7 linked regions of the Ovis aries genome follow. The protein of the gene in region 3 interacts with the protein of the main gene of each other region in a pairwise test. Links are inferred from orthologs where the notes say so. Each region holds a gene or a part of one and is shown on either strand. Other genes may lie near its edges. The genes, in order: ZBTB16, ATOSB, CEP70, RHPN1, ABT1, ARHGEF3 and G patch domain-containing protein 4.

Region 1 (3,908 bases), on a different chromosome or scaffold from region 3:
TGTGTTCATTGTTATCACCTTATTTGCTTAAAATCAGCCACATGGGAGTATTCACAGCATGACCATCTGCAAATGCTACAAAATCAGGGCTTTGTGGAGAGCCCAGTGTTAAACACTTACCACTGGCACACTGCTGGGTTGGAGGTAGATATTTAGAAGGACTTCCTTTGAGGATAAGAAGTGGTGGAAGGCAGTGGAATGTGGCCAAACAGAAAGCTCCCCTGATCAGGGGAAATAGCTGCCTGAGCAGAGTTAGAAGGGAGAGGCGATTCCGCTGGGCTGGCGGGGAGGGTGTGAATTCCTGGGAGGGGAGGTGGATGGAGGGGCCAGTAAGCACAGGATATGTGTTGTCACAGGTCTGCGTTGGGCCACACCAAGAGGATGGGGTGGTTGTTGCTGACAACTGGAATGACCCCCAGGATTTCGCAGAGCCTCAGGGGCTTCCTTAGCCCCTTGTGGGAGATGTGACCTGGCGGGTGGATCATTAAATGCATTGGCACTGACTATCGTAAATAGCCGGTCGATAGTTAGATCACTTTGGCTGTTCATTACTTCATTATTTGCAGGGGCCTCTGCACGGTGGAGTATCGATAGTGAGATGGCTGGCCAGTTAATTACTGTATCGAAACAAGGTTCTCCTGTGTCCTCCGCTCAGCTCCAGGGGACTGTAACAGAGGGGTGGGTGGTCACAGCTAGGGTGTAGGCCACAGGCTCCCAGGGTCTCCGTCCCTCCCTATTCTAGCTCGAGAGGGGAAGTAGGGTCCAGGGCAGATTCTTCCTAGTCTTAGAGGAGGAGGCATCCCCAGGGGTAGCATGCTTGCCAGACTGGGGTCCTCTCACTCTTAGCACCCCCTGCTTCTCATCATCTGTAGCCCTGAAAGAACTCTATCCCCTTGCTTCCGTAGAAGGAGTTGTGTGCTAAAGAGCCATCCCTAAGAACTTTAGAGGCTTCGAGGGCACTTTTTTAGATTTCTGTTTTCTCTCTTAGGAAGGAGAGAGTCCACACGCTAGAGAGAGTTAACGCTTCAGTCCAGGGGCTGGAGCTGGCCCACACATGACCACTACCTCCATGTGGCTAAATTTACTGGGTTGGCCAGAAAGTTCATGCAGGGTCCCAATACCCAAGACTTCCGTTGTGACTCAGCTGGTAAAGAATCCACCTGCAGTGTGGGCAGGATTGGGTTGGGAAGATCCCCTGGAGAAAGGGAAGGCTACCCACTCCTGTATTCTGGCCTGGAGAAATCCATGGACGGTACGGTCCGTGGGGTTGCAAAGTGTCGGACACGTCTGAGTGACTTTTGCACACGCACACACGCACACAGGCACACACAATACATTAGTTATGGTGAACAAGATTAAGAGTGTAATATACTGGAAACTAACACACCATTGTAAATCAACCACACTTCAGTTAAAAACACAAAGAACATAGGGTCGCGGTCGCACAGGCCACGGTTCAGGCACTTGGGAGCTGGATGTGACTTGTGGCCGCCACGCTGGGCGGTGCACGCGGCACACGGAGAAGTGTGGGCCCAGAGGGCCTGAGCGTCCCCAGCTCGCCGGGGTGGGGCTCCTCACGGCCCCCTCCCGCCCCCTGGCCTCTCCTGACCCCCCTTCCCCCACAGGCGAGAAGCCCTTCGAGTGTAAGCTGTGCCACCAGCGCTCCCGGGACTACTCGGCCATGATCAAGCACCTGCGAACGCACAACGGCGCGTCGCCCTACCAGTGCACCATCTGCAGCGAGTACTGCCCCAGCCTGTCCTCCATGCAGAAGCACATGAAGGGCCACAAGCCCGAGGAGATCCCGCCCGACTGGAGGATAGAGAAGACGTACCTTTACCTGTGCTACGTGTGAGGCCGGCCTGAGGCCGCGGCGGGGGAGCCGGGAGCAGGAGGAGAAGCGATGGAGCTGGGTGGAGTCCAGGAGGACCGTGCAGGGCAGAAACACACACACACACACACACACACACACACACACACACACACACACACACACACACACACACACACACAACACACAGCAAGAAACAAAAAGCAAATGAAAAAAAAGGAGAAAGAGAGAAAGGAGGAAAAGGAAGTCTCGGGGCTGTCTGGCTCTGGTTCTGCCTGGGGCTCCAGGTGACCCGGATGCCTGGCCCAGCCCCTCCACCCAGGCCTCCATCCCTCCTTTCCTGGCTGGGGGTCGTTGGCCTGCTCTTTTCGGGTGGGGGTGGAGGGAGGGGGTTTGTCCAGCTCAGATGGTGGGATGTTTTTCTCTTCCCTCCACCCAGATCCTCCTTTTGTGTCCCGAAATAGAAACTAGGAAAGGGCTGCGGGGTCCTCTGGTCAGAGTCAGACCGTCCCTGCCTGCCGTGCCCACTGACTCCCCGGAAGGTCGGGGGCTGAGGGATGGGTGGGGGTGTGCAGGGGGCGGCCTGCAGAGGCTGGGGCTGGGCTGGGTCACTGGTTGATGCTCACAGTGGCAGCTCTAGTTTGCTGGGGGGCACACTGGGGTGGGGGAGGGACCCCCTCCCGCCCTTCCCACTGCTCAGTTCATCTGTTGCTTTCTTCCTCCGCCACACCCGGGAGTCCCTTCACAGTCTTTGAGGAGCCTCGGGGCTCTTGCCTGCTCCCTGGCTCCCCTTGACTCCTGTTCTCCCAGCCCCCCCATGGATCGGAGTGTCTCCTGCCTCCTCCGGCTCCCTGGTGGGGAAGCTGGGTCTGACTAGAGAACACCCCCCTCCCCGCCCGTCCCCCGCCGCCAACTTTCACCCTTTTGGTTTCTGAAAAAATGCAGACAAATTCAGTGGAATAGCCCATCCCAGTCCAGCCATCCTGAGCAAGACTCCTGCTGAGCTGCTTTTGCTTCCAAAATGGAAAAATGTAACAGCTAAATACATGCTGTCCCACCAAACGAACACAGCCCCTAGGAGGAGGGTTCGGTCCGTGAAAGGGGTCGTGGCTGGTGAAGGGACGTGATGTCCTCCAGAGGTGCCCTACACCTGGTGGGGGGTACCCCTGTCCTGGGAGGGAGTTGGGATGCCGTGCTGGGGACCCTTGGAACTCATGGGACCCCCCCAGGCCTGGTGCTCTCTGCAGGGAGACCCAGGTCCAGAGGGCTGTGCAGAATTCCTGGCTCCCAGGGGTGCCCAGGCCACCGAGAGGAGGCGTTGAAAGCGCTTTGCCTTGTGTTCCGTTTTGCTTCTGTTCTGTGTCCTCTGTTCACCTGTTAGCACATTGTACTTGAATTACCTCAGTTTTTTGTGACCTCATGAGCTTTTTTGACCCCTGTATCTCTGTTTTGGTTGGGGGTTGGAGGAATGGGGAGAGTGTTCTTTTCAGTTTCTTGTGTAAATTAATAGCTGGTTTAATAGACTTCAGCTGGCCAAGGCCCTCCCCATCCCCTCGGACGAGCCTCCCAGATGGAGGGAGCCGTGCAGAAGGAGCTGAGTACTCAGGATCTGAATGGGAGGCCGGGGCAGGAGGTGGGTGCCTGCCGGGGACGGGGCGCCGGGGACACCGCAGGACCACAGCTGGCTCTGACCAGACATGACGTCCCCAGGCCTAAAACACTCTGGAGCGAATCCCACCTTTCTTACAGTTTGCTGGGTCCTCCAGGTCTGGGGGCCTGTGTTCTTCAAATCCTTTTTCACGCGTGTGGCCCCACCTCCGTGTGCATTATCACTGCCAAAACTGGCCTCTGGTCTCTCTGCAGGGCTGGTTGGGGACAAGACGGCCCGTGTGTTGTTGCAATGGGGTGGGGGTGTTGTTTTTCTCAAAGCTACCTCTTACGTTTGTCCAGCTCTTTTGTTCCCCTTCACGCCTCCCATCCTGCTGCTCTGCGTCCCCCACTTCTCCCCAACCTCCCCCCGCTGAATTTTTGGAAAGCACATTTGCAATATTTGTGTTCGCTTTGGGACGGGTCTTCC
Region 2 (4,456 bases), on a different chromosome or scaffold from region 3:
TGTTCTATCTAACTGCCAAGACCATAGGCCCAGACCTTAGTCATCTGCAAAAGTCTAGGGGCAGTAGTTCAGGGGGAAGGATCAAAGACGTCCTAGGCCTCAGTGTGCTCTGGGAGAGCAAGCAGCGTTGTACAATCAAGAGGCTTTACCTAGCTGCCCTAAATTCTTACTCTGCTTTATTTTTCTTCATAGCAGTTATCACCAGCTGGCACTTCTCTTCCTCTTTCCCCCTCCCTCTCCTTTCTCTCCCTCTGCAGCCACACACACATTTCTTTCTCCCTGGGTTAGAATACAAGCTCCATGAGAGCTGCAACTCTGTTGTATTCATGCTAGTACTCCCAGAATCAGTATCAGTGCCTGGCACATAATAGGTGCTCAATAAATGTTGGCTCAACGAAACATTGACCCCTGGGCTGAGTGAAGAGTATTCAGAAGACCTGGGTCCCAATGCCTGGTCTTTCACTATGAGACCTGGAGAAAATATCAGTCTCTTCTTTCTTAATTTCCAAATCTGTAAAATGAGTTTGTATACACAGTTACCACTGAGGCCTCTAGAACTCTGACCTTATACTGCTATAATCCTAATGGCTATTGTTCACTCTTACCCATTTTCAGAGGATGGGTCCAAGCATCTGGATGCTCTGCTGCTTGTAAGGAAGTAGAAAGTCTATATACTCCAGCCCCTGCATAGCAAACCAATGCCCTTTCTCTTCATGCCCCACCCACTCAAACAAATGCCACAATCTTGAGGAAGCTGGAGTGAGTCCGCCCTAAGCCCGCCTCTCTGAGAGACAATCTGGGAAGCTGTGTTGCCATAGCAATCAGCTCCTCCTCAAAAGGCTTCAGCCTGCCCTTCTTTACCCCACCCTACCCCACGGCTTTGTCTGGCTTTGGCACCCCCTCCCTCCCCAGCCAGTCTCTCAGCCAGAGGAGACTGGCTTGGGGCCCCTTTCAGCAACACTGTCACTCTCATTCAGCCACGGTGTGGAAAGCAGGGCTTTCTCACCCTCTTGCAGCCTGCCCAGGGGCAAAAAGAAGTCTGGCGCTAAATCAAGTCGCCTCAGGGAATCAGAGACTAGGCCCTAGTCTGGTTCAGATAGTCAGATTCCAACCCAGGAGGGTGGGGAGCCATTCCCTGTCCCTCCCCCAGTGGAAACTGGAACCTCCCTTCCCAGTTCAGCCAACAATAGTGGCTGACCTCTCAAAGCATGCATCGCAGACCCTCAGTACTTCTGACCATTTCCCTCTCCCACAGAAGCCCAGAGTTTTTGAGGGAATTAGGGTTCCCTACCCAGGAGAAGGAAAAGTGTGCAGAAATCAGTTTGTGGCAAGTGGTAAAAAGGTATCTACCACTCACTTGGGGGGCTGTGGGGAGAGACCTTGGTAGCAGTGAGGGTGAGGTCTGGGCCTTGCTGCTGGTTACCTAGGTCTCTGGCCACTGAGTACAAAGTCTGGGGCAGGGCACAGCTCCTAGACAGGCAAGGACCAGGCCAGGCCCCAGGCGAGGAAGGAAGTGGGAAATGAGCACACCCAGAGCATAAGGGCAGGGCAAACTGGGGGAGGAGGGGAAAGACAGGGACTAAGGCAAGCTTCTAGGAGGAACAGGAACTACAGTGAGGGGTACCCAGAACCTAAGGGGGGAAGGGTCCCCAGGGACACCAGCTAAGGGAAAAATATCCCAGTCTCAGCCAGACAGATCCAAAGCTGACTGAGACAGTCACACAAGCTCTAGTAGCAAGTGGGGCCTGCATCCTCTCTGAGTGCTCAGGCCTGAAGGTGGAGTTAGGAGCTGAGGAGCCAGGAACACTGCAGACTGGCTTCTTCACCCGAGTAATCCCATCACCCTCATCCCTGAGACACTGTACAAAAACCTCTTCCTGGAGTCTCTACAAAGCCTCCAGACTTTCTCAAGGCACTAGGGGTTCTCCCCTCCTCATCTGGGGCCTGTAACCCCTTCCCCTCACACAGTGCCCACAGCCCCCACACCTTCTTCCTCCACACAGTCCCTCCCACACTCTGGACCACTAGCCGATCTCCATCACACAACGCCCCCTCCACTTTCCCCTAAAGCGCCTTCATATCCCCTCCCCCTCAAGTATCATCTCCAACCCTTCACTTCACCTCACCCCCTCACATTGTACTTCCCAGCCTCACAAAGCACTCCCGCCCTTCCCCCACAAGGGGTACCGGAGAAAGCACCTCTTAGCCCAGTGAGCCCCCCTCCTCCTCCTCCAGCTGTTTTACTCCATCCCCACCCCAGCATTTCTCCAGATCTTTTCCTTCCCTGACATGATCCTCCCGCTTCACGTCTACCCAAGCGCACCCCCGTACTTGTCCATTCTTCCACGCGCACCCGCCCCACACCTGTAGTTCCGCGAGTCCCGTTGCAACTGGGGAGGTAGTGGATTGGAGCAGTTACATAGCTGCCCTAGCTGCAGCCTCGGCCTGCAAACCTCGCCCCTTTGGTCCGAGCCCCGCCCCCGCAACGACACGACCCACCCTCTCCGTTGTCCCACCTCCCACCTTCCCCTGGCTCGTCCCCTTTCCTAGATTCTTTAATTCCTGGGGCTCCTCCCCTGTAATTCAGGTCCTGCCCCTTTCTGGCTCCTCCCCTTCTCGTCTTCTTGGCGTCTCCACAGAGAACCTCTGCTTGTCTTTCGTCCCACCCCGGTCCCCGCCCCATCCTTGATCCCCGCCCCCTTCTGGTCTTCGCCTTTCACTAGGATCCGCCCCCTCGGATTCCAGGCTGGCAGAACCGGTGCCAGGCTCGCTTCCACTGCTAGCCCCCTCCCATCTCGGAGCCTCTCCTCCCCCCGCCCCTTCTCTGGCTGGCCTCACCCCGGCGCTGGCGCTGCAGCCCGGAACCGCTGGTTTTGATTGGCGGCGGTGGCCCCAGTGGATGGCGGAGGAGACAAAGTGATGGCTGCAGGTCGCCTGAGGGCCCACCCCGGCCACGTGCGGCTTCTGTGATGACAGGTCTAAAGGGGCGGGGCCTCAGTCCGCAGTGTGCGGCCTGGGCTGACCGGATCCGGCCGGAGATGGGGAGCCAGAACCTGCGCCAAAGCGCTTGCTTGTGGGCGCCCGAACCAGGTTGGAGCCATCCCAGGCTTTCGAGCTGGTGTGAGCTGCCTGCGGAACTTGAGCCTCTTAGTGAAGGCATCTGGGTTAGCGCGCGTATTTGCCCTAATGGGGGAGATCTGTAGGGTTTGCAAAGTAGTGCAAAGAGCTTCAGAATTCTGTGAAAATGCGGGAATCTGGTTGGCCGGGGTCTCAAGTCTGTGAGGAAGAGCACTTTCTGTAGCCTACGGCGTGTAGGAGACAGGCAGTAAGAGTTAGGTCTATAGCTGTGGAGGTAGGTCGGCGAGAAGTCTGTGAATTTTATGAGCCAAAGTAGAGCCTTTGCTTTGTTCAGTCGACTGAACCTGTATGACTGTTACACACGTTCTGTAATTTAATTAGCGCTTGAGTCTTCAACTTCCCGGGAGCCCCACGAGTTCCCAAGATATGTCCAGGGGAGAGCGACGCTTACGAGCCACCGGTAGATGGCATCCCAGGTCCCTTGCAGAGCCGAGTGGCTCTGAGCCCAGAGCCTAGTGAGCTTCTCGATGGAGTCGGAGGTATTGATGGCTGTGTGATGGACTGGACCTGGTAAAGTTATCTCAAAGTCTCAGATTCTTTAGATCTCTGTGACTTTCTTTCTGTGAGTAGTTAAGAAGCGGCTTTACTAAACACCAATGGTGCGCTAGGCAAAATGAAAACAGAAAAAGAAAAAAATGTTCTGCTCTTACGGAACTGCTCAGATTGTCTTTCTAATACTTCTGTAATGCTCAGTTCAGTTCAGTTGCTCAGTCGTGTCCGACTCTTTGCGACCCGGTGAATCGCAGCACGCCAGGCCTCCCTGTCCATCACCAACTCCCGGAGTTCACTCAGACTCACATGCATTGAGTCGATGATGCCATCCAGCCATCTCATCCTCTGTCGTCCCCTTATAGAGGGTAAAATTGGAAGAGTTTTGTGTCATGGAAAAAGCTCAAATTTGAAGTCATTTGGTTTGGTAAGGACACTATACTAGCTGTATTGGGCAAATTACTTGATTACTAGCTAAATTTGGGTAAATTACTAGATTAAAAAAATAAATTTTTAAAAAGGTTTTTTATTATCGGGATCATTTTAAAAGTCTTCATTGAATTTGTTATAATATTGTTTTTGTTTTATGTTTTCGATGTTTTGGTGGGAGGCATCAGAATCTTAGCTCCCCACCAGGGATCCAACCCACACCCCTTGCATTGAAAGGCTAAGGGCAACCACTGGACCACCAGGAAAATCCCTAAAAATAAACTTTTCATTTTAGAATAATTTTAGATTTACAGAAAATTTGTGAAGATAGTACAGAAAGTTTCTGTGTACCCCACACTCAATTCTCTGCTTTGTTCTCCACAATTAATAATGTCTTACA
Region 3 (3,908 bases):
GAAATATGTCCAAAATCCCCCTCCCCACAGAGACAGTTTAGAATATACTGTTGATAAGGAACGCTACCTAACAAAGCAAACCTAAAAACGTAAATGCTAGATCTTATTGACTGATAAATAACAGAAACAGGCTTGGCCAAAGAATGATTAGTATCTTCTCTGGAGCTATGAACACCAACAGGTCCAACACTGCTGGCCCCAAGCTGGCAGGCTAAATGAGGGCAGAACACCAACTGCCTGCAGCTTCATACCAGGAATTCTTAGTATCTCGCGCTGTTTCTCTCTGATCCCTGAAATTTAACTTATCACATCCTTCCAATGCTGCTAGCATAAACTGAGGGGACAGCCAGACCCTGCCTAAGGAGTACTGTCCCTTTAGGCAGCTAAACACCTTGTATGCAACAGGTACACATAATGCTGTGCCAACAGAAAACATTTATAATGATATACTGTTTCTAATCTGTAATGTCTTACACAACTATTGATTTTTCCTACAAAAGATTTCTTTCTTTCAACTACAATAAACACCCAAGTTTTAAAAGAGGTTTTTAAAATTAGGAATTAAATATTCAATGTTATAACATTGCTATTTCAATAAAAACTAAAAAATTTATAATCAATAATTCAAATATCTATTGAGCATCTACAACTAATAATAAAGCAGACATTTTCTCAGCCCTAGACAAAACAGACAAAAATATCAGCCCTCATGGAGCTTGCATTCTAACACAGAGATATACAAACAAAGTGTATAGTATATCAGCATGTTAGATGGTGGTAAGAATTATGGATAAAACAAAGCAGGGAAGGCCAGATGATATGTTGGGGGATAGGACTGCCAACTGTAAGTGAAGCAGTCAAAAAAGGAATCCCGGAGAGATGGTGATGTGACACTTGAGTAAGCAGAGAGGAAACAAACCACGCAGCTAAAAAACCACGCATGGTAGCGGGAAAAAGAACAAAATATACAAAGTCCCTGAGGTGAGAATGTTCAAGGAAAATGTTCAAAGAAAATCAAGAATGCCAGTGTGACTGGAATAGAATATGCAAGAGGTGCAACACAGGGACAATCATGCAAGATCATGGTAAAGAGTTTTGGATTTTTCCCTTAAAAAAAAGAAAAAGTGAAGTTAGAGGGTGCTACAATGTTGAGAGCACATTGAAAAAGGCAAGGCTTGGAGTAGGGAAACCAAGAAAGACACAAGAAAGAAATGAAAGTAACTTGGACCAGAGTGGAGACTAAAAGACAAAAGTTTGGGGAAGAAATCCAGGTATGGTTTTGGACATGTTAAAAAGTTCTACATGCCTAATTAGCCATCCAATAGAGATATCAAGTAGGATGCAGGATGTGAGTATGCAATTAAGGGAAGAAGCCTGTGCCACAGATTTAAAAGTACTATGACTTAGACTGAGCATCACCAAAGAAGTTAGAATTTATAGGAAAAAGAAAGGTCGGAGAAGGCAATGGCAGCCCACTCCAGTACTCTTGCCTGGAAAATCCCACGGACGGAGGAGTCTGATAGGCTGCAGTCCATGGGGCGGCTAAGAGTCAGACACGACTGAGCGACTTCACTTTCACTTTTCACTTTCATGCATTGGAGAAGGATGGCAACCCAATCCTTCTTGCCTGGAGAATCCCAGGGAGGGGGAGCCTGTTGGTCTGCCATCTATGGGGTCGCACAGAGTCAGACACGACTGAGCGACTCAGCAGCAGCAGCAAGGGATGAGTACAACCCAGATAACCATGACGGTGTGATCACTCACCTACAGCCAGACATCCTGGAATGTGAAGTCAAGTGGGCCTTAGAAAGCATCACTATGAACAAAGCTAGTGGAGGTGATGTAATTCCAATTCAGCTATATCAAATCCTGAAAGATGATGCTGTGAAAGTGCTGCACTCAATATGCCAACAAATTTGGAAAACTCAGCAGTGGCCACAGGACTGGAAAAGGTCAGTTTTCATTCCAATCCCAAAGAAAGGCAATGCCAAACAATGCTCAAACTACTGCACAAGCTTGCACTCATCTCACATGCTAGTTAAGTAATGCTCAAAATTCTCCAAGCCAGGCTTCAGTAATACGTGAACGGTGAACTTCCTCATGTTCAAGCTAGTTTTAGAAAAGGCAAAGGAACCAGAGATCAAATTGCCAACATCCACTGGATCATGGAAAAAGCAAGAGAGTTCCAGAAAAAACATCATTTCTGCTTTATTGACTATGCCAAAGCCTTTGACTGTGTGGATCACAATAAACTGTGGAAAATTCTGAGAGATGGGAATACCAGACCACCTGACCTGCCTCTTGAGAAACCTATATGCAGGTCAGGAAGCAACAGTTAGAACTGGACATGGAACAACAGACTGGTTCCAACTAGGAAAAGGAGTATGTCAAGGCTGTATATTGTCACCCTGCTTATTTAACTTCTATGCAGAGTACATCATGAGAAATGCTGGGCTGGAAGAAGCACAAGCTGGAAATCAAGATTGCAGGGAGAAATATTAATAACCTCAGATATGCAGATGATAACACCCTTATGGCAGAAAGTGAAGAGGAACTGAAGAGCCTCTTGATGAAAGTGAAAGAGGAGAGTGAAAAAGTTGGTTTAAAGCTTAACGTTCAGAAAACGAAGATCATGGCATCTGGTCCCATCACCTCATGGGAAATAGATGGGGAAACAGTGGAAACAGTGTCAGACTTTATTTTGGGGGGCTCCAAAATCACTGCAGATGGTGACTGCAGCCATGAAATTAAAAGACGCTTGCTCCTTGGAAGGAAAGTTATGACCAACCTAGATAGCATATGAAAAAGCAGAGACATTACTTTGCCAACAAAGGTCCGTCTAGTCAAGGTTATGGTTTTTCCAGTGCTCATGTATGGATGTGAGAGTTGGACTGTGAAAAAAGCCTGAGTGCCAAAGAATTGATGCTTTTGAACTGTGGTGTTGGAGAAGACTCTTGAGAGTCCCTTGGACTGCAAGGAGATCCAACCAGTCCAACCTAAAGGAGATCAGTCCTGGGTATTCATTGGAAAGACTGATGCTGAAGCTGAAACTCCAATACTTTGGCCACCTCATGCAAAGAATTGACTCATTAGAAAAGATCCTGATGCTGGGAGGGATTGGGGGTAGGAGGAGAAGGGGACGACAGGATAAGATGGCTAGATGGCATCATTGACTCGATGGATGAGAGTCTGAGTGAACTCCAGGAGTTGGTGATGGACAGGGAGGCCTGGCATGCTGCGATTTATGGGGTCACAAAAAGTCGGAGACGACTGAGCGACTGAACTGAAGGGATGAGTCATGGAAAATGAGAAGAATCAACAAAGGGATCAAAAAATAACCAGTGGGGTTAGAGGAAAACCAGAAGAGAAGATATTATGGAAACAGCAAAGAAAGAATTTCAAGACAATGACAATAATAGGTAAAGGAAGATAAGGATCACTGAGTTAAGCAACATGGAAGTCACCTGTAACACTGACAAGGTGTTTTAAGACTATCATGTAAGAAAATGTTTAACTCAGTACCTGTAAAGCTTTATGCTCCTTTTGAAGTTCTTTTATTTTATTCTGTTGCTGGCAAACCCTATTTACAGATTCATCCTCCATTTCACCAATTTTGGACTTCACACTCTCCATAATTTGTTCCAAGTCATTAGCTCGTTGTTCCTGATCTGCTGCTCGGCTTTGCTGTTGCTGAAGTTCATTTCTAGTAACAGACACACAATTCCTTCTCTTAGTAATAGAAACAAATCATATCAACCAACATATTCATCTAACAACATAACAACTTTCTAAAATTTTTTTGCATTCTTAAAATTTCTATAACACAAACCAACAGAGGAAACATAGGGTATCATTATATATCGAAACTATTACCAAATGATTTACCTGCTAAAAATATTTTTTACTTA
Region 4 (4,666 bases), on a different chromosome or scaffold from region 3:
TTGCTCCCCGCATCCTCCTGCGCTTCCGAATTCCTTCTATAACCTCCATGACCCGTCCTGCCCATGCAAATGCCGGACTGCACACGTTTAGGTGGAGGGGACGACCAGCCAGCTCCTGCCAGGGCACTGATGGAGAGCAGCCTGCCTGCAGGGTGCGGGGTCTCCTCTGGGCCACCCTTACTGTGGCTGGGCTCCATCCCAGTTGGCCGCTTATTGCGGCAAATGCCCAAACCACAGGCCCCAAGGGTCACTCCGCTCACAGGCAGAGGGCCAGGCCTTCTGACAGCCCCATCTGAGGTGCCTCAGTGTGGCTTCTGCCCTGAACACGGGCAATCCTGCCAGCCTGCCCGTGTCCCGGGCCCCAGGCAGAGAGCCCTGCAGCAGGTTCAGAGGGTGAGAGGTTTCCTCTGTGAGGGGAGGGGCTTTCAGGGCCCCAGTGGGACTGGTGCTGCTGTGGCCATTTAGGGACCTCCCGGCCTGGTCAGTCACCAGCCCAAGAGTTGGGAAGGACTTCTCAGAATGTTCTTCCTTGGACCATGTCCTCAGGCTCAAGTGGTCTCCTGGCCCTGGAACAGAACAGGGAAGAGGACACAGTGCCTCCCAGGACCCCACCCTGAAAGCACAGGCGTGCAGGGCTAATGCAGCCTCTCTGCAGTGGCCGCTGTCTTGAACAAATCTGAGGAAATACGTCCCCACTGCTACACACAGAGCAGTCCCCGCCTTCTGGGGGCTATAGGTTATCCCAGCCCCAAGCAGGAGGCACCCTAAAGAAGGCCTTACTCTCTTGCACAGACAAGACTCATGGCACATGACCACCTTGGATTATGGCCCAACATTTCCTCCACATTCCAGTGTTCTCAGGAGGGATCAATCAGGGAAGACTTCCTGCAGGAGGAAGCATTCTTCTGGGACTTCCAAGTGGTCCTGAGGTAACTGGGGAGAGGGGACTTATCCCCATTGAACAATGGGGGAGACAGAGCAACCACCCTGGATGACTGCCTGCTGGGGGACTCTGGACAGGTCCTCGTCTGTAGACAGAGAGGGGGCTGGTGTCAAGGTGGCATCAGGCAGGAAGAAGGCAAAACACGGCTCTCCTCTCTCCGCTCTGCTGGTTGAGTATCTGTCTTCGCACTGGCCTTCACCTCTTCTCCATGGTACCTCCCATACCCACTTGGTGCAGAAGGGAATGAGAAGAGGATACAGGCAGTCGCCCTTCCAGGAGGCCTGAGAATCCGGAGCAGGGGGCAGGCCATAGCTGAAGCTCTACTCTTCTCCCTCTGAAGGTCCAACTGCACAGCTCCAGCCTAAGGTTCTGAGTGAGCAGCAAGGCTGTCTGCCTGGGGAGGGGCGCTCCATGCACTGGGGAGAGGCTGCCAGCCCCGAGGGACTGTCCCGTCAACACAGCTCATCAGGTGTCCGATGTCACGTGCCCCCGGAGAGATGTGCTTGAAGGCGGGAGACCATAGTTCCCTCTGAGGCCTGCAGCCAGCACCCCTCATGGTCTCGTGACCCCAGCGCTCCCTCCAGGACGCAGGCTGGCTGCATGACTTGGCGGGAAGTGCGACTGTGGCCCAGTTTGCAGTGCTGGGTGGCGCTCACCCCCATTTCCACACTGGGTGGTGAAGGGGTCTGCCAGCTCGTGCATGTGTGGAAGAACCCCCACCTGATGGAGAAGAGCAGCGAGCCTCTCCCACGCCCTCCCTGCTCCAGCCCTGGCAGCACTGGTCTAATGGATCCCCCAGAAGCCCAGGAGGAAATGGCAGAGGCAGTGGCCAGAACTGGCTAAGTGTGCCAGGAACTAGGCCAGCGCAGGCCTGGTAACAGACTGCAAGATGGTTGGTGGGGCCAGGCCTCACACCCTCCCTGGTGCAGGTGCAGCTACGCTTGGCGGCACCGGCCTGAAAACTCTCGCGTGTGTGGATGCCCAAGGCCTGGCATAAACCCTGGGAAGCCTTTCAGTGACTCCCAGGGAACAGCCAGGCTCCCGGGCTGCAAGGTGAGGCAACCAGAGCACGAATCCTCCCCAGACACAGACTCACATGTCTCCACCCTCCTCCCTTGCACAGCTTTTCAGTCCTGGAAACAGTCCACAGTCCACAGCCCCCGCGGGATCAGGGGTTTCAGGAAGGGACAGAGGTGCGGGGAAGTGAGGCGGGAGAAACCACCTGCTGGGAAATCCTCCAGCCATTTCCTGTACCCGGGTGCATCAGCCACCTGTTGCTAAAAGTTCCATCAAACACAGAGCTGGGTGGCCAGGGCACAGCTGAACAGCCCTAGGAGAGAGGGAACAGCTAGGAAAGGGGGAATGACATGCCAGGAACAGACACGAAGGCCACGGGCTGTCACTGACCAGAGTCCAGCGCCTGCCAGAGATGAGGGTCCTGGAGTGTTGTTCCCAGAAACCACAAGCTGGACTTGCGCTCCGACCTGCTCCGGTCGACGCAGGAGGCGTCCCCCAAACGCACTAGACAGGAGTCCAGCGGCCGGGCTCTGGCTCCGCACGGGGCCCCAGTTCCCCACCGTTAAGCCCACCTTACGCGACGTTTCGCCCCGGAGTCCAGCGGCGCGAGAAACCAGTGCCGATCCCGCAGCCGAGCGCTCGCCCGCGGCAGCGGGCAACAGGAGCGGCCGGGTTTGGGAACCCACCTCCCGGCGCCCCCCGGCCGCCGGCCGCCGGCCGCCGAGCGCTCCCACCTTGCGGATGGGGCCCGCTTGCAGCCGGGCGCTCTCCTCGCCGGCTCCCGGGCCGTCCGATCTGTCCTCGGGGACCATCGCCGCCCGCTGCTCGGGCCGCGTCCGCCTGGAGGCCGTCGCCAGCGCAGGGACCCCCGGAGCAACGGACTCCTCACTGCCCTCTCCTGGGGGTGGCGGCCCCGCCGGCAGGAGGGGCGGGGCGCAGGCCGCCGAGCGTGCGAAACTTCCCGCTGCCCAATCGGCGGCCGCGGCGACTCCGACGGACAGCAGCGCTGGCCAACCAGAGCGTGAGGGAGGTGGTTCTCGAAGCCAGGCCCTGCCCACTCGTGTCCGCGGAGCCCCAGGGGAATGCGGTCGCCCCTGGCAACCGCCGGCCGGCGGAAAAGGGAGAAACAAGGCGCCGCGCACAGCCCAGGGGCAGCCGGGGTTCCACCCGCCGGGCGGCGGGGCCTCCGCAGGGCTAGTCCGAAGAAAACACCCGCGATGGCTTGTTAACGGATTTCCTGGCACGAGCGCCCGTGCAGCCCTTAAGGTCCGCTTTTCTGTCTCCGCTCGGGGACCCAGACTCTGGCCTGGTGGCCCCAGTGCGGTGCCGTCCATTGTCACACTTCCAGAAACCGCTTCCAGAACCTTCCTCCGGAACCTGCCTCTGGAGCCCACACTCCAGAACCCCCCTCGGCAACCTGCTTCCAGAATCATCTTACTTTCACCACCTACATCTAGAACTGACTTACCTCCCGGGACCAGCCTGCCTCCAGAACCGAACTCTCCCTAACCTGCTCTCCCTGCAGAGTTACCCCAGGCCCTTAATAATTTCTCTAGTTATGGCAACTCTGGAACGCACTCAGATTTCATGTGGGGCTCACCTCACCGAAGAGCAGGGGCAGGAACACCAGAGCATATGCAGTAGCCATAGCAAATCTTCAAGTTCTGATAAATTTCCAGCCTTGTCCATAGTAACCATCTCCCCAGGGTCCCTGCCATGCCTCGGTGCAGAGCCCTGGGCCCCTCCCCAAATGGCCAAGCCAGAGCCTGGCTTTCCCCAGAGCTAAATCCTGTAAGCTAAGCTCTTTGGCTAACCCTGGCCATCTGAAACAATAGTAACAGAAAAATAAGGTAATTGTTAACTCCGAGGAAAATAAAATGTAACACAGAATATGACCTGACTTAGCTGTGTATTTCAGGTTGTCCTGGCAGCTTGACCATAGAGGACCATGATAAGGAGTTTCTGTTAGGAGGAGGAGAGAGGGGAAGGGTGAAGAAGTGGGTGAGAGAAGCTGAAGCTTCATCCTGCTGAGGGGGAAGTCAGCAGATAAGGCCTCAGTTAGAAAGCAGAATTCCAGGTGCAGAAGCATGAGGTCCGGGACTCCCCTGGTGGCGCAGTGGCTAGGAACCCATCTGCCTATGCGGAGGACACAGGTTTGATCCCTGGTCCAGGAAGATGCCACATACCATGAAGCAACTAAGCACCACAAGTACTGAAGCCCGCGTGATCCAGAGCCTGTGTTCCATTACAAGAAAAGTCACTTCAAGGAGAAAGACGTGTCTGGCAAGGAAGAATAACTCCCACTAGTACAACCAGAGAAAGCCTGCACAAAGCAACAGAGACCCAGCACAGCCAAAAATAAATGAAGAGATAAGTAAAGAAATAAAAACCTCCAGTTACAGATGCTTGTTCTTTGGAACTGTGGGATTCAACACCAAATCTGCCGCTCAGAGTTATAAGCGGTCACCCCTGGGGAGGCGGTGGGGCCCCGGAGGAGGTTCCTTCTTGGTTCAGCAGGTTTTAGAGACCTGAGGCTGGTAAAGCTCCAAACCTTCTATAACAAAGTAACCCCAAAACTTGTGTTTTGAAGAATGGATGTCTAGTAATTGACAACAAAAAGCATCCAAAATAAAAGGAAACCATTGGAAACGAAGAGATACTTCTAAATAAGGTGTGAATTAGAAGAAATAACACAAACTGCATGTT
Region 5 (4,708 bases), on a different chromosome or scaffold from region 3:
CAACCATGGCAATCGCCCGAAAGCACCCGGGCCATCTAATAGCAATGTTGTCCAGCTGTTTTGAGAGATAGGCTATTGGTCTATCCCGTGTCCCCATGGCCTGGGTTAATACCCCCATAGCCACTTTGTCTTTTTCAGTCACATAAAGAGTGAATGGTTTAGTAAGTTCTTGTAGACCCAATGCAGGTGCCAATGTAATTGCCAATTTTAACTTTTCAAAGGCCTGTTGCTGCCTCTCAGCCCAATTTAGTAAATCCCCTTCTGGCCCTGTTAGGAGTTCATACAAGGGCTAGGCCATCTGAGAGTATCCTGGGATCAAAATTCTACAAAACCCAGTGGCTCCCCAAAATTCTGGGACCTATGCAGGTTTTTGGTCGTGGGATTCTCAGGATTACTGCATTCCTGGATTGGTCCAACAGTCTTTTGCCCCCTCTCAGGACAAACCCCAAATATCTTACCTCCATCTTGTAGATCTGTGGCTTTTTCCTCAAAACTCGGTAGCCCGCCTCCATCAACAGTTCTAGCAAAGCCTTAGTTCCTTCCCAGCAGTGTTCTTTATTCTCTGCAGCCAACAGCAGGTCATCCACGTATTGTAGCAGCCAGTATCTAAACCTTCCTGGCTGGAATGAGTCCAGATCGGAAGCCAAGGCTTCCCCGAGAATGATCAGGGAATTCTTAAATCCTTGCGGGAGGCAAGTCCAAGTGAGCTGTTGTTTGGTGCTCCCTGCAGGATCTTCCCATTCAAAGACAAAAATAGGTTCAGATACCGGAGCAATATGGATATAAAAGAATGTGTCTTTTAGATACAGGCAAGTATAGATCTTAGCACTCGGTGGGAGGAGGCTGAGTAAGGTATATAGGTTAGCAGCAGTGGAGTGTAGAGTTACCGCTGCTTGATTGACCAGTCTGAGGTACTGTACAGGCCTGTAGTCCTGTCCCCTTTCCTTCTTAACTGGCAGGATTGGTGTGTTCCAGGCTGACTGGCATTCAATCATGATGCCCACCTGCTGTAACCTATTTATATGTGGCAGGATACCAACTCGGGCCTCCAGTGCTAGCGGGTACTGACATTTCCTGACTGGTATGGCACCAGGTTTGAGTTCTCTTACCACGGGAGCTTGATGTTTGGCAAGCCCAGGCAGGGGCGGGGTGGGGGTGTATCTTTCGCCCAAACCTCAGGGAATTGTTGGATCAGCTCTCTCTTTGGATTGTTTAACCCATCTGGCTTCCCTTCCAAAGGATCATGCAATCTTCATTCATCTTGAGGGGTTACCAAAAGGGAGAGTAAACAGCTGGTCGAGAGCGGGTCTTTCTTGGAGAGAAAGGTCACTTGTGCACCCAATTTAGATGACAAGTCTCCACAAAGAGGTACTGGGCATTAAGGAATATACAGGAATTCATAAGTCACTTGATGCCCCCCCCACCCCAATCTGGCATTTTGGGGGTAGACAGAATAGTCTAATCAGCTTTTCCCTGGTTACTCCTGCAGCAATGGCCTTCTCTGGGGGGTCACCGGTTCGGTCACCACTAACATTTCTGCTCCAGTATTCACCATAAAGTCAATAATTTGGTTCTCCACTTTTAGTTTTACCATGGGCTCTTGGGGACCTTGTGTCTTTGAGCCCCGGCACCCCTATTCAGCCTCCAGTTCAGCCAGCCCTAAAACAATCAATGCCAGTTATTTTTCCCAGCTGTTCTGAAGGCATTCATTTTTCCAGTGGCTGAAGCCCCGGCATGGGCACATTGATTTGGTTGCAGGGCGATCCTGGGCTTCCTTATAGGAGGCTTGCCAGGAGACCAAGGCTGATTTAGAGGGGGTGGAGGTATTGAGGAAGGCCCAAGGAGGGGCCTTCCCAAGGCCTCAGCCAGTAACACCATCCTCTGATCTGCTCTCTTGTTTTCTTCTCTCCGTTTTTTCTCAGCCTTCTTTTTTGCCTCCACGTCTCTGTTTTTGAACACTTTATTAGCAATCTCAATTATTTGTGTGCTGGTCATGGCTAATACTCTGCCTACCTTTTGGAGCTTGCGTCTGATATCAGGGTAGGCTTGAGATACAAAGGCTGTATTTATCACAATTTGAGACCAAGCTGCCTCTGGATCTATTGGTGTATAAAGTCTATAGGTCTTGCATAGTCTTTCATATAACTCAGTAGGTGTTTCAGTTTCCTTTTGGACTACTTCGGTTGGTTTTGCCATATTTATAGACTTACGGCAGCCCTCTTGAGACCTTGTAAAATAGCCGTCCTATATCTCTCAAGGTGGCCCCTTCCTGCCTCTGTGTTATAGTCCCAATCGGGCCTTTCATCAGGGTTGGCTAGTTCTGCCCACCGCTGTGGGTTTACAGTACACTCGGGGGCCACTTCTTGTAGCCATTTTCTAGCCTCAGTATGGATCCTGTGTCTTTTTTCAGTGCTGAAGAGGGAAACTAGCAGCTGGATTATGTCCTCCCACGTAAGATGGTAGGTTCGAAAAATAGTCTCCATCAGCCTGATCATGCCTTGGGTTTCTGCCAGTTTAGTAGGTCCACAGAGGAAAATGGTTGGTAATAGTAGGCTCGGGGAGGCTGGTGGTAGTGTCTGTCTGCTCCCTGAACCGGAGCTGTTGCACTCTGTTGTAGCTCTCTGCGAGGCATTTGTTTACCCCGGCTCTTTGGCGGAGCGCAGCCTCTGTCGAATTCCTGTGTCTCCTTCCCCCTTTCCGTCAGTACTCACCGGGAGAGGCTGATACTTTTTAGGAGGTTCGGCTGAGGCTGAGTCCTGTGGACGTTGACTAGAGGTTCCTACCGCCGGGATCGGAGCCTGCCGAAATGGCGGTTCTACGATCTCCGGGGGAGTTGGCCCAGGAGCAGCTGGTGGAGCCCCAGCAGGCCCTGGATCGGTGGTCATTAAGGCGGCCTCCGGTCCTGGTGAGCATTAGGTGGCCGGCGCGTCATCCAGTATGGGAGAGAGGGCAAATCACTCCCGTCCGGATCCTGCAGAATTTCTTTTTTGTCATCAGTCGATTTTTGTGCCATTAATGTTTTCCCTCTCTCTTTTTGAATGCAGAGTCTTGCCCAAGGGGGAGGATCTCGAGCCAACCACAGCCAAGAATCAGTATATGGGTATTGATCCGGCTGCCCCGGCGTTCCGGTGACTACCGCAGACCGCTTTTATTGTTTTTAAGTCCATGGTGCCCTCTGGTGGCCATCCTACTCCCATAGAGGGCCGTTCAACCTCACAGAATATGCGGAATCGGTTAGGCGTCATGTTCACCCCATAATCTTCTTCAAATTCCTTCTTAAAATTCTTAATCATGCACTCCAATACAGTTGCCTTAGATTCACTTCCTCCCATCTAGCTTACATTCTCGGACCTTCTTCTTCCTTCCCTTTTCGTTCTGTCCACGAAGTTCTCGGTATCCTAAGTACTTCTTGATATTTCTACTCAATGAAACACATATTGCCATTCCGCCTCCTTCTTAATTGGGGTGAGGAGAGCCTTCCTGCTAGAAGGGGAATTGGCGAGTCTTCATCTGCAGGTCCGCAGTGCCGAACCAGAACACCAAGTGGTCCAAGATTATTTTCTCCTCTCACTTTGAAAGTCCGTTCTGCCTTGGTGGGCTTGATTGGGTGCGGATGAAAACATAGATGGATTAAATATCCCACGTCCCAGACGGTCTCGGGAAAGGTCAAATTGTTTTCACTCGCGTATCTTCCTTCTTTAAGCCTGACAACCCTGAGGGGATGAATTCCACAGCAGATGGGACACCTCCTCGGGGAGGGCAGAATATAAGCACACAAAGACCAAGTTTCTTCTTCCCAAAGCCCTCTCGCAATCGCCTGGTAATAATTTACCCCAAGACGACGCGGACACCACCTCCTTTATGACTTTGACGGTCAGTGTGTCCCCTCCATGGGGTCGCTAAGAGTCGGACACAACTAAGCGACTTCACTTTCACTTTTCACTTTCATGCATTGGAGAAGAAAATGGCAATCTACTCCAGTGTTCTTGCCTGAAGAATCCCAGGGACAGAGGAGCCTGGTGGGCTTCCGTCTACGGGGTCGCACAGAGTCGGACACGACTGACGCGACTTAGCAGCAGCAGCAGAAGCAATGTGTCCCCTATTCCCTCCCAGGGGGTTGATCAGGCCCCCTCTTCCACCCCGCAGGGTGGGAATCTCCTTACGTGAGCGCTTAACTCCCCTGCCCCAGTCCACTACCCACTAACGTGAAAGATCCCGGCGTGGGGAAGTGGAATCTTTACAGAAGGACGAGGCGCCTTAACCCCGTCTAGAAGATCAGAGCCGCGAAGCGTCGGAGTAGCCCCAAATGGGACTTGTCTCTCACAGTGAGGAGTTTCCCGGCCAACGCATGAAATGTAGCCAAAAGCTCCGGGAAACAAACTCACTCAGAAGGATAGCGTGAATAGTGGATTGCAGTTTATTACACTCGCGGTCCGAGGCAGAGTTTCCTCTTTAGCCAGGGACCCCGACCGAGTTTTGTGACAATCTATTGTGCCCAAAGTGTATGGGCCCAAGCTCACATACCCAAACTGGCTCTGGACAACCTTAGTAAGAGATACAGTCAGGTTTTAGCCATAAATTCACATTCTAAAGCCCACATCAATAAATATTATTAAGATTACAGATAGTGATTGATTAGATAGTGGACATTGCATTCCTTCTGGCTCGGGGAGGTCTAGGTACGGGGTCTGCCTGGTCTGGGTTTTTG
Region 6 (3,908 bases), on a different chromosome or scaffold from region 3:
CCTAGTAAATTACTGCATCAGATTTGTACTGGATGAAATTGCAAGGTCAAGAGAGCGCTTCTTCCTTTGCGAAATTAAACCTTCAGAATCCCCAGGGATGTTTTCCTGCTTTTTGGTTGGATGATATCAGACTGATTTAACTTGAAACAATGATCTTTCCCGGTTTCCTTCAAACACCATAATGATTACACAGGTAACTTCCTCATGCCCTGTTTGCAAGGCCCTTGAAAATTCATGCCTTTAGCTACTCTGTCAAAGAGCTAGAAAAGTACTAGAGAAATGAGGAAGGATCCTTTAAAAGTAATCTATATGAAACAGCAGATTAGAGGCTGTTTTCTATTTTTTAAAATCCAGCAGGACCAGTGAAAATATTGATAACTTGTTCAAGTACATATCCACCCATCCAGACACTTGGGAAAAACAACACAGGGTAACAGTTGCCACAGATTCCAGCTGACACAAATTGGCAGTTACAGTACAAGAGACAAAAAAGTACAGACAGAAGAGACTGGGTCAACACAGTCACAAAAGTGTGAAAAAGTGCTTCTCCAAACCGTTCCACATGTGGAATGCAAATACTGTACAGGTAAGACACAGGGCGACTTCCAGGAAGCACACGCTTCTGTCAGACGTTGCTTTCAACATGCCTGCTGTTCCCACAGGAAGAGTCTGTCTGTTCCATGCGCTCACAGTCGAGGCTGACCTCACTCGTGTCCATGCTACAATCCGATTCACTGTCTGATTGGTCCATCTGCTCAAGTTTTGTTTCTCCCTGTGGTTCCCTGCTCCCGGTGGCGGGATCTAGGAATGGTCCCTCAGAATCAAGGACCGTAGCCTGCCCCGTGGCACACAGAACTGTTTCTTTGGCTTGGCGAATACAGTTGAGCCACTGCTGTTTGTTGAATGTGTCATTGGCTTGTAATGAGTGGGTCTGACTTTGCGATCCATTTTTGAAACTCACTCTGAAGAAGTTTTTAACTAGAAAAAAAAACACACAAAAAAGGTCAGTGGGCAGATATTTCCGCAGGTCAAAGATAACCTATGTGGTGACACTCACCCTGGTATTCAGGGCGAGATCACTCACTGATTACTAAATGTCCTACTATTTCAGGACATGGCTCGGCTCCACCCTGCAGCCTCCATCAACCAACAGGTGTTGACACAGGTCTGGCACTCAGTGGCCTTCCAAAGCTATCAAATCAGTACAGAACAACTCTGTCTGGGACCCTGGAGTACTGGGTACCAAACCTGGCCATATATCAAAATCTCCAAACAACATGGTAAAAATACAGATCCTGGGGTCCTCCCCTTAGGGATTTGGATTCAACAGATCTGGAGTCGGGGAGGGAGGGGGAGCTGATAATCTGTCATTTTAACAACTGCCCCAAGCTAAAGCTTTTTCAAGTTCAAGACGCTCTTTGTAACATCAAACAAGTCCAAGATCCTCCACACGATAGTACCTGTGTATTTAGTATCCGATGACTGAGAAGACATGTAAAGATAGAATTCTTTTGTGTTTTTTTTTGCTGCACTGGGTCTTCACTGTAGTACACAGGCCTCTCTAGTTGTTAAATGTGGGCTTCAGGGTGCATGGGCTCAGTAGCTGAAGCACGCGTGGGCTTAGCTGCAATATGTGGGATCTCAGTTCCCGGACCAGGGATCGAATCCGCGCCCCCTGCACTGGGAACTCGGAACCTTACCCACTGGACCATCAGGGAAGTCCCAAGATACAGACAGAACTCTTAAAAGTTTGGATTCATTTTAAAATGAAATGACATTCTAATAACTGCCAACAGGAGTGATATGCATTTGTTTCTTTAAAATTTTTATTTATTTATATATATTTCTGTCCATGCCATGCCATGTGGCTTGTGGGATCTTAGTTCTCCAAACAGGGGTTGAACCCAGGCCCTCAGAAGTGAAAGCATGTAGTCCTAACCATTGGACTGCGAGGGAAATCCTGGAGCTATGTGCATTTAAAAAATGATGGTGCGCAATATGGAAGACATTTGATTTAATTTAATAACAACATTAACTGGCATTTCATGGGCCCCACGAGTCACATGTATGTGGTTCATGGACGTGTCTGAGCTCAGTCAGTCCAGTCCCCCTGTAAGATCCTTGAGGTCAACAGACTGGCTTCAGATAAATTCAAGCTCCACTCTTTTCTGTGAGGCAAATGCCTTGACTCCTCTACATTTCAGTTTATTTGTAAAATGGGGAAAACAAAGAGATTCAACCTTAGATAGTTATTATGAGGGATAAACATAATAACATATGTAAATGCTCCTACATTGCTATTGGAGAAATGTAAGTACTACTACTGCTACCAGTACTACCACTAGGGCAGAGGGGCTGGTGTGGAGGTAAGAGGCAGCGTATATTAACTACTTGGACAACATGACAGCAATATTAACCCAACAGGCTCAAATGTTACTTGCTCAAAGACGACTTCCCTGATCATTTCATCTTAAACAGATCTCCTATTGCTATTCTCTGTCTCCTTAATGGGTTTTAGTGTTTTGTTTTTTTTTTTAAAAAAACACACCCAGAATATTTAGTTATTTCTCATCTATTTTCTCCATCACAAGGTAAATTCCACAGGGCTCCCCAAAATTGACCTTTGTGGTAGACCAATGTATACCAGTGCCTGGCACAGTGTTTGACACATAGAAGACCCTAGATAGACACTGCTATCTAAGCTTCTCTTGGTTAATTCCTTTGTTTACTAAATCTCAAGTCAGAGAAGCCCATTCAAGTAATTACAGATAAACCCTCAGCCCAGTTGACCATAGTTGTGCCTCTTTAGACACAAGTCAGCTATGTGAACTCCCACTGTTAAGTGGCTGCAGTCACATAGGGACAGTCTGGTCTTAAGAAGGCTTTTATCCAGTGGAAGCAGTCAGAGAAAGGGAGCATAGGGGGCACCGGTCATGCTGGACAGAGGTCAACTCACAGTGTTTCACTTAATCCTTAGAACAATCATATGAAGCAGGCATGCATGCATCCCCACTTTGCAGATGGGAAACTAAGGCTCCTAGAGGTTGAGTAAGGTTCCACAACCTCTAAGTGATGAAACACAACTGAGATGCAATTTGACTCCAAGGCCATGGCTTGTCTCTTTCACCAGCCGGCCATTCCCTGCAAACCACCACTACCAAAGACATTCCACAGGTCAAGAGGGACAGCCATCCGTACTTCTCTCATTGTTGCTGAACGCCCCGCGCAGGGAGCCCCCCAGCCTCACTTCCCCATCCTGCAAGTCTTCCAGCAGGAGGTCCTTCATGGGGATAGGCTGCCGGTACAGCTGGTAGCAGAGCTGCTCATTGTGGGTAACGGCGCGGGTGATAACAAGCACTTCTTGGAAGAGGAAGACATGTAGTTTCTGGAAGAAAAGAATACACAGGATTCCCTTAAGCAATAATCTAAGGAGTTGATAAGTAGACCTCTGGGGATAACAGGTCTCTGGGTACCAGTTTCAAACTGACCTATGAACTGCTCAGCTCAAATCTACCTCCAGGAGAACACCAGTTGGGGGTTGGAGGCATTTCCAGATGCATCCATTGCCTGTCCTGTAAGGGCACCTCCCTAGGGCCCCAGTGAAGAAGGCCTTTCTGCCTACAGATACCTGCTTTCAGGTCTGCCAGCTCCAGGGGTGTTCACAAGTCACAACACATGCAGGCACACGTGGTTTCTAGCACTTTTATTACAGGAATATTAAAAAAGAAATAGAAACCCCATAGAACAAAGGGTGTAATGGAGGAAAAAAAAAATCAGTCCTTTCCTGGCTTTAGTTTATTATATCCAGTACAATTCTAAGAGATCAAAATGAGCAACAGTCCATAAAGGATGAGACTGGTATATCTGAGCCTAATATTAATCTTTGCTTCTCAAACCCGTAAAACACT
Region 7 (4,591 bases), about 140 Mb from region 3:
GTACTCCATCCTGGGGGAAGTATGTGTGAGTGGGTGCCACGTCTCCCTCACCCCCATGTGTCCAGGCCCTCGTGTGTTACATGCCTGCTATTAGAGCTTATACCTGCCTAGTTTCCACCACCAAGTTGGCTGCAGTCTTGTTGAACAGATCATTCCACCAGTGATTTGTGAACTCCTTGGCAGGGTCGTGTCCCACCTGCCAGAGAAGTGTGAACTCAGGGCTTGTCAATCCCCTCCCTCACCCTATCTTCAAGGCCCCCATCTCCCATCCCCACTGACCTCCCGCAGTCTGTCCAGTCTTACCCCATAAGTGTCCTGCTTCAGCGTCACCCTGAGGGCCTGGGTGATACCATTCTCCTTCCGGCCCAGGCCTTTGCCTGCAGAAGACAGCGAATGACCTGGCTTATTCCACTGCCTGCCCTAAGCCCTCACAAAGCAACCCTGGCACATGCCCTTGTCATTCCACACACCTAGCACTGAGCGTGCCCTGTCCCTCTCAGAAACCCTCCCAGTTCCACTCTTCCTACTCCCTCTCCATACGGTCTTCATGTCTTTGAGCCCAAACTCTCTTTTCCCATAATTCTCTCAGGACAGAGGTCATCTCTTTCCCACTCCCAGTTCTCTCAGCCACTTCCTTCTCACTATCCACAGTCATATTTCTTCCCTTTTCTGGAAATGTCTGGAAATTGCTGAATTTTCTTCTGCAAATTTTCTCTTTAACTTTTCCTCTTCCGTTGAACAGACTACAGAGAGGTTAATCCAGGATAATGCCTCTCCCCTGGGCAGAGGGTAGTGAGGGAGTTGGGGGATGTGGAAGGGGCCCCCTGGGAATCACCTTGAGTCCATCCATGCTTTAGCAACTGCTCCTCAGCAAATTTCATCCCCCGACTCTTGACCTCGGGGGTGATACTCATGGTGAGAAAAGTCACTGTCTTCAGGCTCTCACTGGAGAAGCAGCAGTCACTGTCATCCCTTTAAGAGGAAGGGAGAAAGTGCTCAGATCATGTACCAAATCCATCCTAACCGCTCTTATAAGAATTCTTTCCTGGAGCTGGAACAGAGATCAAGCTGGGAGGCCTGGTCCTTAGGGAGCTCCCTGACCACTGAGAGGTCAACATGCTGAAAGTCAAGGAGGACCAGTATTAACAATAATACCTAAATTTATGGAGAGCTCACCACACGCTGGGCTTTGCTAAGACTTTGCATGGATCATTTCATGTAACCGTCCCAGTCCAGGAAGATTTCCTAAACTTTGCATTCAGGAAGGTATTACTATCCTTTTGTTCAAATGAGGAAACTAAAGCCTAAAGAGGTTAGGTGACTTGCTCAAGGTCACACAGCTGATGCATGTAGAATTCACACTCAGGCAGCTGGTCTGCAGAATTCCCACTCTTTACCGCTACCTGACAATATCTCCCATGATTTATTACCATGTTAAAAACAAAGCAAAGCAATGAGATGTTTGTTAACCTGAGTGATATCTGTCTGTGCTCAGTTGTGTGATTCTTTGTGACCCTTTGGTCTGTAGCCCGCCAGGTTCCTCTGCCCATGGGGTTCTCCCAGCAAGAATACTGGAGTAGGCTGCCATCTCCTCCTCCAGTTATAAGACAGCAGTGCTTAATAAAGCCTGTATCCTATACCTGTGCCCCAGCATTTACACTGTGGGGGCTTCACCACCACTGTCTTTCAGTCTTGTTGGAGCACCCTTTTTGAAACTGTCCAGCTTGGAAAGGCGCTCTTATATTTAACAGGAGGATTACACATACTATTATACTGTCTCATTTAACCCTAACAGTTCTGTAAGACAGATATTATTTTATAGAGGAGAAAAATAAAGTCTCGGTTTCTTGCCTGGTTTCTTATATAGCTGGTAAGGGATGTAGCTGGAAATATGAGCCCAGGATGCATGACTGTATAGTAGCCCGGCTTCTATTATATTCCCAACTACGGTCATCCCTCAGTTATCAGCGGGGGACTTGTTTTAGGACCTGCCATTGATACCAAAACCCAAATTCTATACTCAGCCTTCCACATGCCAGCATGTTGCTAATTGTTTCACACATATTATCTCATTTAATCCTTCCAACAACCCCACAGGGAGGTGTTTTGGGTTTTTGTTTTGGCTGCCCCGGGTTCCTTGCAGGATCTTAGTTCCCCAACCACGGACTGAACTCCAGCCCTCCGCAGTGAAGGTACAGAGTCCCAACCACTGGACCACCAGGGAATTCCCTGGAGGTGTTTTTACTGTAACTTACAACTGAAGAAATGGCACTGAAAAGTTTAGCTACTTGCACAAATCAAATAGCTGGTTAAGTAGCGGATCTAGGATCTCAGGCACTCCAGAACTGGTGTTCTCAATCACTACTCACAGGCTCATAGCCATTTACGCTTTACACTCTAAGACTTACACAGCCTATGCCTTGTCGCATTAATTTGAAATTATATTATATACCACAGCCTATGCTTAGTCTTATTCCCAAACCCCTGATGCACTTAATGCAGCTCCTGAATGCGTTCAGTCCTTAATTGTTGAACTGAATGACACAGGTGGGAATTTCCTTAACCGACCTAGAACAGCTAACTGTGGACAGAAGCTAGATACCAGGCTGTGCTCGCAGTCTTTGCGAAGGCTGTGAGCACACTTTCAGGAACTGTCTTCTTTCCAGTCAACGTGAGTTTTCTGGAGAAGGGACCCTGGGCTACCATTCTTACAGAGGTTCTGAAGAGCTGGCTCCTTTCCCTAGGGTTCCTTCCTGTGGAGGTTAAAACTCCAGCCCTCCGACCGCAGCTTCACTTGAGTAAAACTATTCTCTTTCTGTCACATTTGCCCCTGAGCCCGGGCTATGACAGTCACCATTCGGGGGACTGTAGCCCCTTACCGTCATTGCGAGATCCTCTCCGCAGAAACATGTGACAAACGTGACTTGTGCGCAGCCATCTTCCCGGAAGTGCTGTTTCGACCCTTCTAGGCTGTGGAAACCATAGAGATGTACGCTGGAACTGAGTCTCTGTGGTCCCCGGAGAAACTGAGAGGCCGGCTTGCGGTATGGTTGCCATAGAAACTCCGCCCCAGAGCTAGCCCATTTCTGGAGATTCGAGAGGTATTCTACTTATTGCCTCCCAGCAGGCCCTGAGCAGCTAAGTGACTTCAGTCCTACCTGACTCTATCGGGGTTCGGAGAATAGCTTTGGGTCCAACATTGACTAGTCCTAGGCACAAATACGAGAAAGGAAAATTTTAGGTGAAAGCATCGAGAGTGGCCTGAGAGATTCGTGGAGGCAGAGAAGGAGGTAGTACCTCTGAGGTGATTAATAATTCAAGGGATGAATACTCAGCTTGCAGGGACAGTTTGTTTTTTTTTTTTTTTTAAATAAAATCCTAGAGGTAAGAGGTTTCAATACGTTCATCAAACACATTTTGATTCACCACTGTGTGCCAGGACCTGTTCTTCTTTGGTACTGGTGATACAAAGATGCGTAAGACACGAGCCCTGACTTCGAGAAGCACTTTGTCTAGCCCAAGCAAAGCTGGAAGCTCGAGTGGGACTGGAGAGGCAAAATCCCGGAATGCATAATAGGTTGAGGAGTTCAGACTTGCCTTATAAGTATGAGAATCCATTGAGCAGGAGAGGGAAAGAACATATTGCAAAGAAGTCAGCAAGAGAGGTTGCACATCCTCTCATCCCCACAGTGTTCTTAGGGTCCACTGAGCCACCCAGGAACTAAAATCGGAAGGGAAAAAGAAAAAAGTTTTCCCTTATTTGCATCCCTGTGTCAATATTTGGACTTCCCTGGCTCAGACGGGAAAGCGTCTGTCTACAATGCGGGAGACCCGGGTTCTATCCCTGGGTTGGGAAGATCCCCTGGAGAAGGAAATGGCAATCCACTCCAGGACTATTGCCTGGAAAATCCCATGTACAGAGGAGCCTGGTAGGCTACAGTCCTTGGGGTCTCAAAGAGTCGGACACGACTGAGCGACTTCACTTTCACTTTCACATTAATATTTACGGTAACTTAGCGCCCCCTAGGATCTTCAAAGAGAAAAGCTGCCATTTCACTCAAGCTTTGTCACAATTGTTCAGTATGTCATACTACCTCATTCCAGTATGTTTTTTTAAACATGAAATTAGTTTTACTTTTAAAATATGCTACATGGGAACAATACGTTAAACAATGGATCTTGATTAGTGGGCTTGTAGATGCTTTCATAAGTGATGTGGAATGCTTCAAATATACTGTTCAGAGGTTGGATTCAATAGAGGAGCGTTTCGTGAATGGCAGTCAGATCTGAGTCCTTTTCCTGCTCGAGAGCAACCTTTCACTGGTCTATAAAATTAGAATGTTGGACTAGTACAATCATCTTTACAAACTTGATTTTATTTCCACCGTTTCAATATTCCACCCTTTCTATCTCCCCTGTCTATCTAATATTACATATTATACTGTGGTCATAAAAGAAGTTTGAAAACTCATGAATAGGTCAAGGGCCCTTTTCAGCCCACAATTTCTGTTCAGCATACTCTTTGTCGGCCATTCTGAAAATCTAATGGCCATAATTTGTTGAACTGAACATTCAGAAAACTAAGATCATG

What was found.
Region 1: the proteins of CEP70 (region 3) and ZBTB16 interact in binary tests that used the Homo sapiens proteins (3 or more experiments, as listed by UniProt). The two-hybrid records come from large-scale screens. The link is inferred for Ovis aries from reciprocal best matches to the Homo sapiens genes CEP70 and ZBTB16.
Region 2: the proteins of CEP70 (region 3) and ATOSB interact in binary tests that used the Homo sapiens proteins (3 or more experiments, as listed by UniProt). The link is inferred for Ovis aries from reciprocal best matches to the Homo sapiens genes CEP70 and ATOSB.
Region 4: the proteins of CEP70 (region 3) and RHPN1 interact in binary tests that used the Homo sapiens proteins (3 or more experiments, as listed by UniProt). The two-hybrid records come from large-scale screens. The link is inferred for Ovis aries from reciprocal best matches to the Homo sapiens genes CEP70 and RHPN1.
Region 5: the proteins of CEP70 (region 3) and ABT1 interact in a two-hybrid assay, tested with the Homo sapiens proteins (2 studies listed by BioGRID and IntAct). The two-hybrid records come from large-scale screens. The link is inferred for Ovis aries from reciprocal best matches to the Homo sapiens genes CEP70 and ABT1.
Region 6: the proteins of CEP70 (region 3) and ARHGEF3 interact in binary tests that used the Homo sapiens proteins (3 or more experiments, as listed by UniProt). The link is inferred for Ovis aries from reciprocal best matches to the Homo sapiens genes CEP70 and ARHGEF3.
Region 7: the proteins of CEP70 (region 3) and G patch domain-containing protein 4 interact in binary tests that used the Homo sapiens proteins (3 or more experiments, as listed by UniProt). The two-hybrid records come from large-scale screens. The link is inferred for Ovis aries from reciprocal best matches to the Homo sapiens genes CEP70 and GPATCH4.

What each region holds. Positions count from the first base shown.
Region 1 is NC_056068.1:24,499,700-24,503,607, forward strand, and holds part of ZBTB16 (zinc finger and BTB domain-containing protein 16), read left to right. Parts: intron 1-1,625; coding exon 1,626-1,855; 3' UTR 1,856-3,908. UniProt on the Homo sapiens protein: Acts as a transcriptional repressor. Transcriptional repression may be mediated through recruitment of histone deacetylases to target promoters. May play a role in myeloid maturation and in the development and/or maintenance of other differentiated tissues.
Region 2 is NC_056055.1:53,360,535-53,364,990, reverse strand, and holds the start of ATOSB (atos homolog protein B), read right to left. Parts: upstream 2,956-4,456; 5' UTR 2,839-2,955; intron 2,465-2,838; exon of another isoform or gene 2,324-2,464; intron 737-2,323; exon of another isoform or gene 606-736; intron 1-605. UniProt on the Homo sapiens protein: Transcription regulator that may syncronize transcriptional and translational programs.
Region 3 is NC_056054.1:251,194,716-251,198,623, reverse strand, and holds part of CEP70 (centrosomal protein of 70 kDa), read right to left. Parts: intron 3,704-3,908; coding exon 3,523-3,703; intron 1-3,522.
Region 4 is NC_056062.1:14,224,047-14,228,712, forward strand, and holds the start of RHPN1 (rhophilin-1), read right to left. Parts: upstream 2,879-4,666; 5' UTR 2,773-2,878; coding exon 2,695-2,772; intron 1-2,694. UniProt on the Homo sapiens protein: Has no enzymatic activity. May serve as a target for Rho, and interact with some cytoskeletal component upon Rho binding or relay a Rho signal to other molecules.
Region 5 is NC_056073.1:30,523,741-30,528,448, forward strand, and holds the start of ABT1 (activator of basal transcription 1), read right to left. Parts: upstream 3,151-4,708; 5' UTR 2,014-3,150; exon of another isoform or gene 734-2,013; 5' UTR 1-733.
Region 6 is NC_056072.1:44,413,577-44,417,484, reverse strand, and holds part of ARHGEF3 (rho guanine nucleotide exchange factor 3), read right to left. Parts: intron 3,386-3,908; coding exon 3,199-3,385; intron 979-3,198; coding exon 626-978; 3' UTR 1-625. UniProt on the Homo sapiens protein: Acts as a guanine nucleotide exchange factor (GEF) for RhoA and RhoB GTPases.
Region 7 is NC_056054.1:106,565,319-106,569,909, forward strand, and holds the start of G patch domain-containing protein 4, read right to left. Parts: upstream 2,954-4,591; 5' UTR 2,880-2,953; intron 973-2,879; 5' UTR 915-972; coding exon 836-914; intron 378-835; coding exon 304-377; intron 197-303; coding exon 104-196; intron 11-103; coding exon 1-10.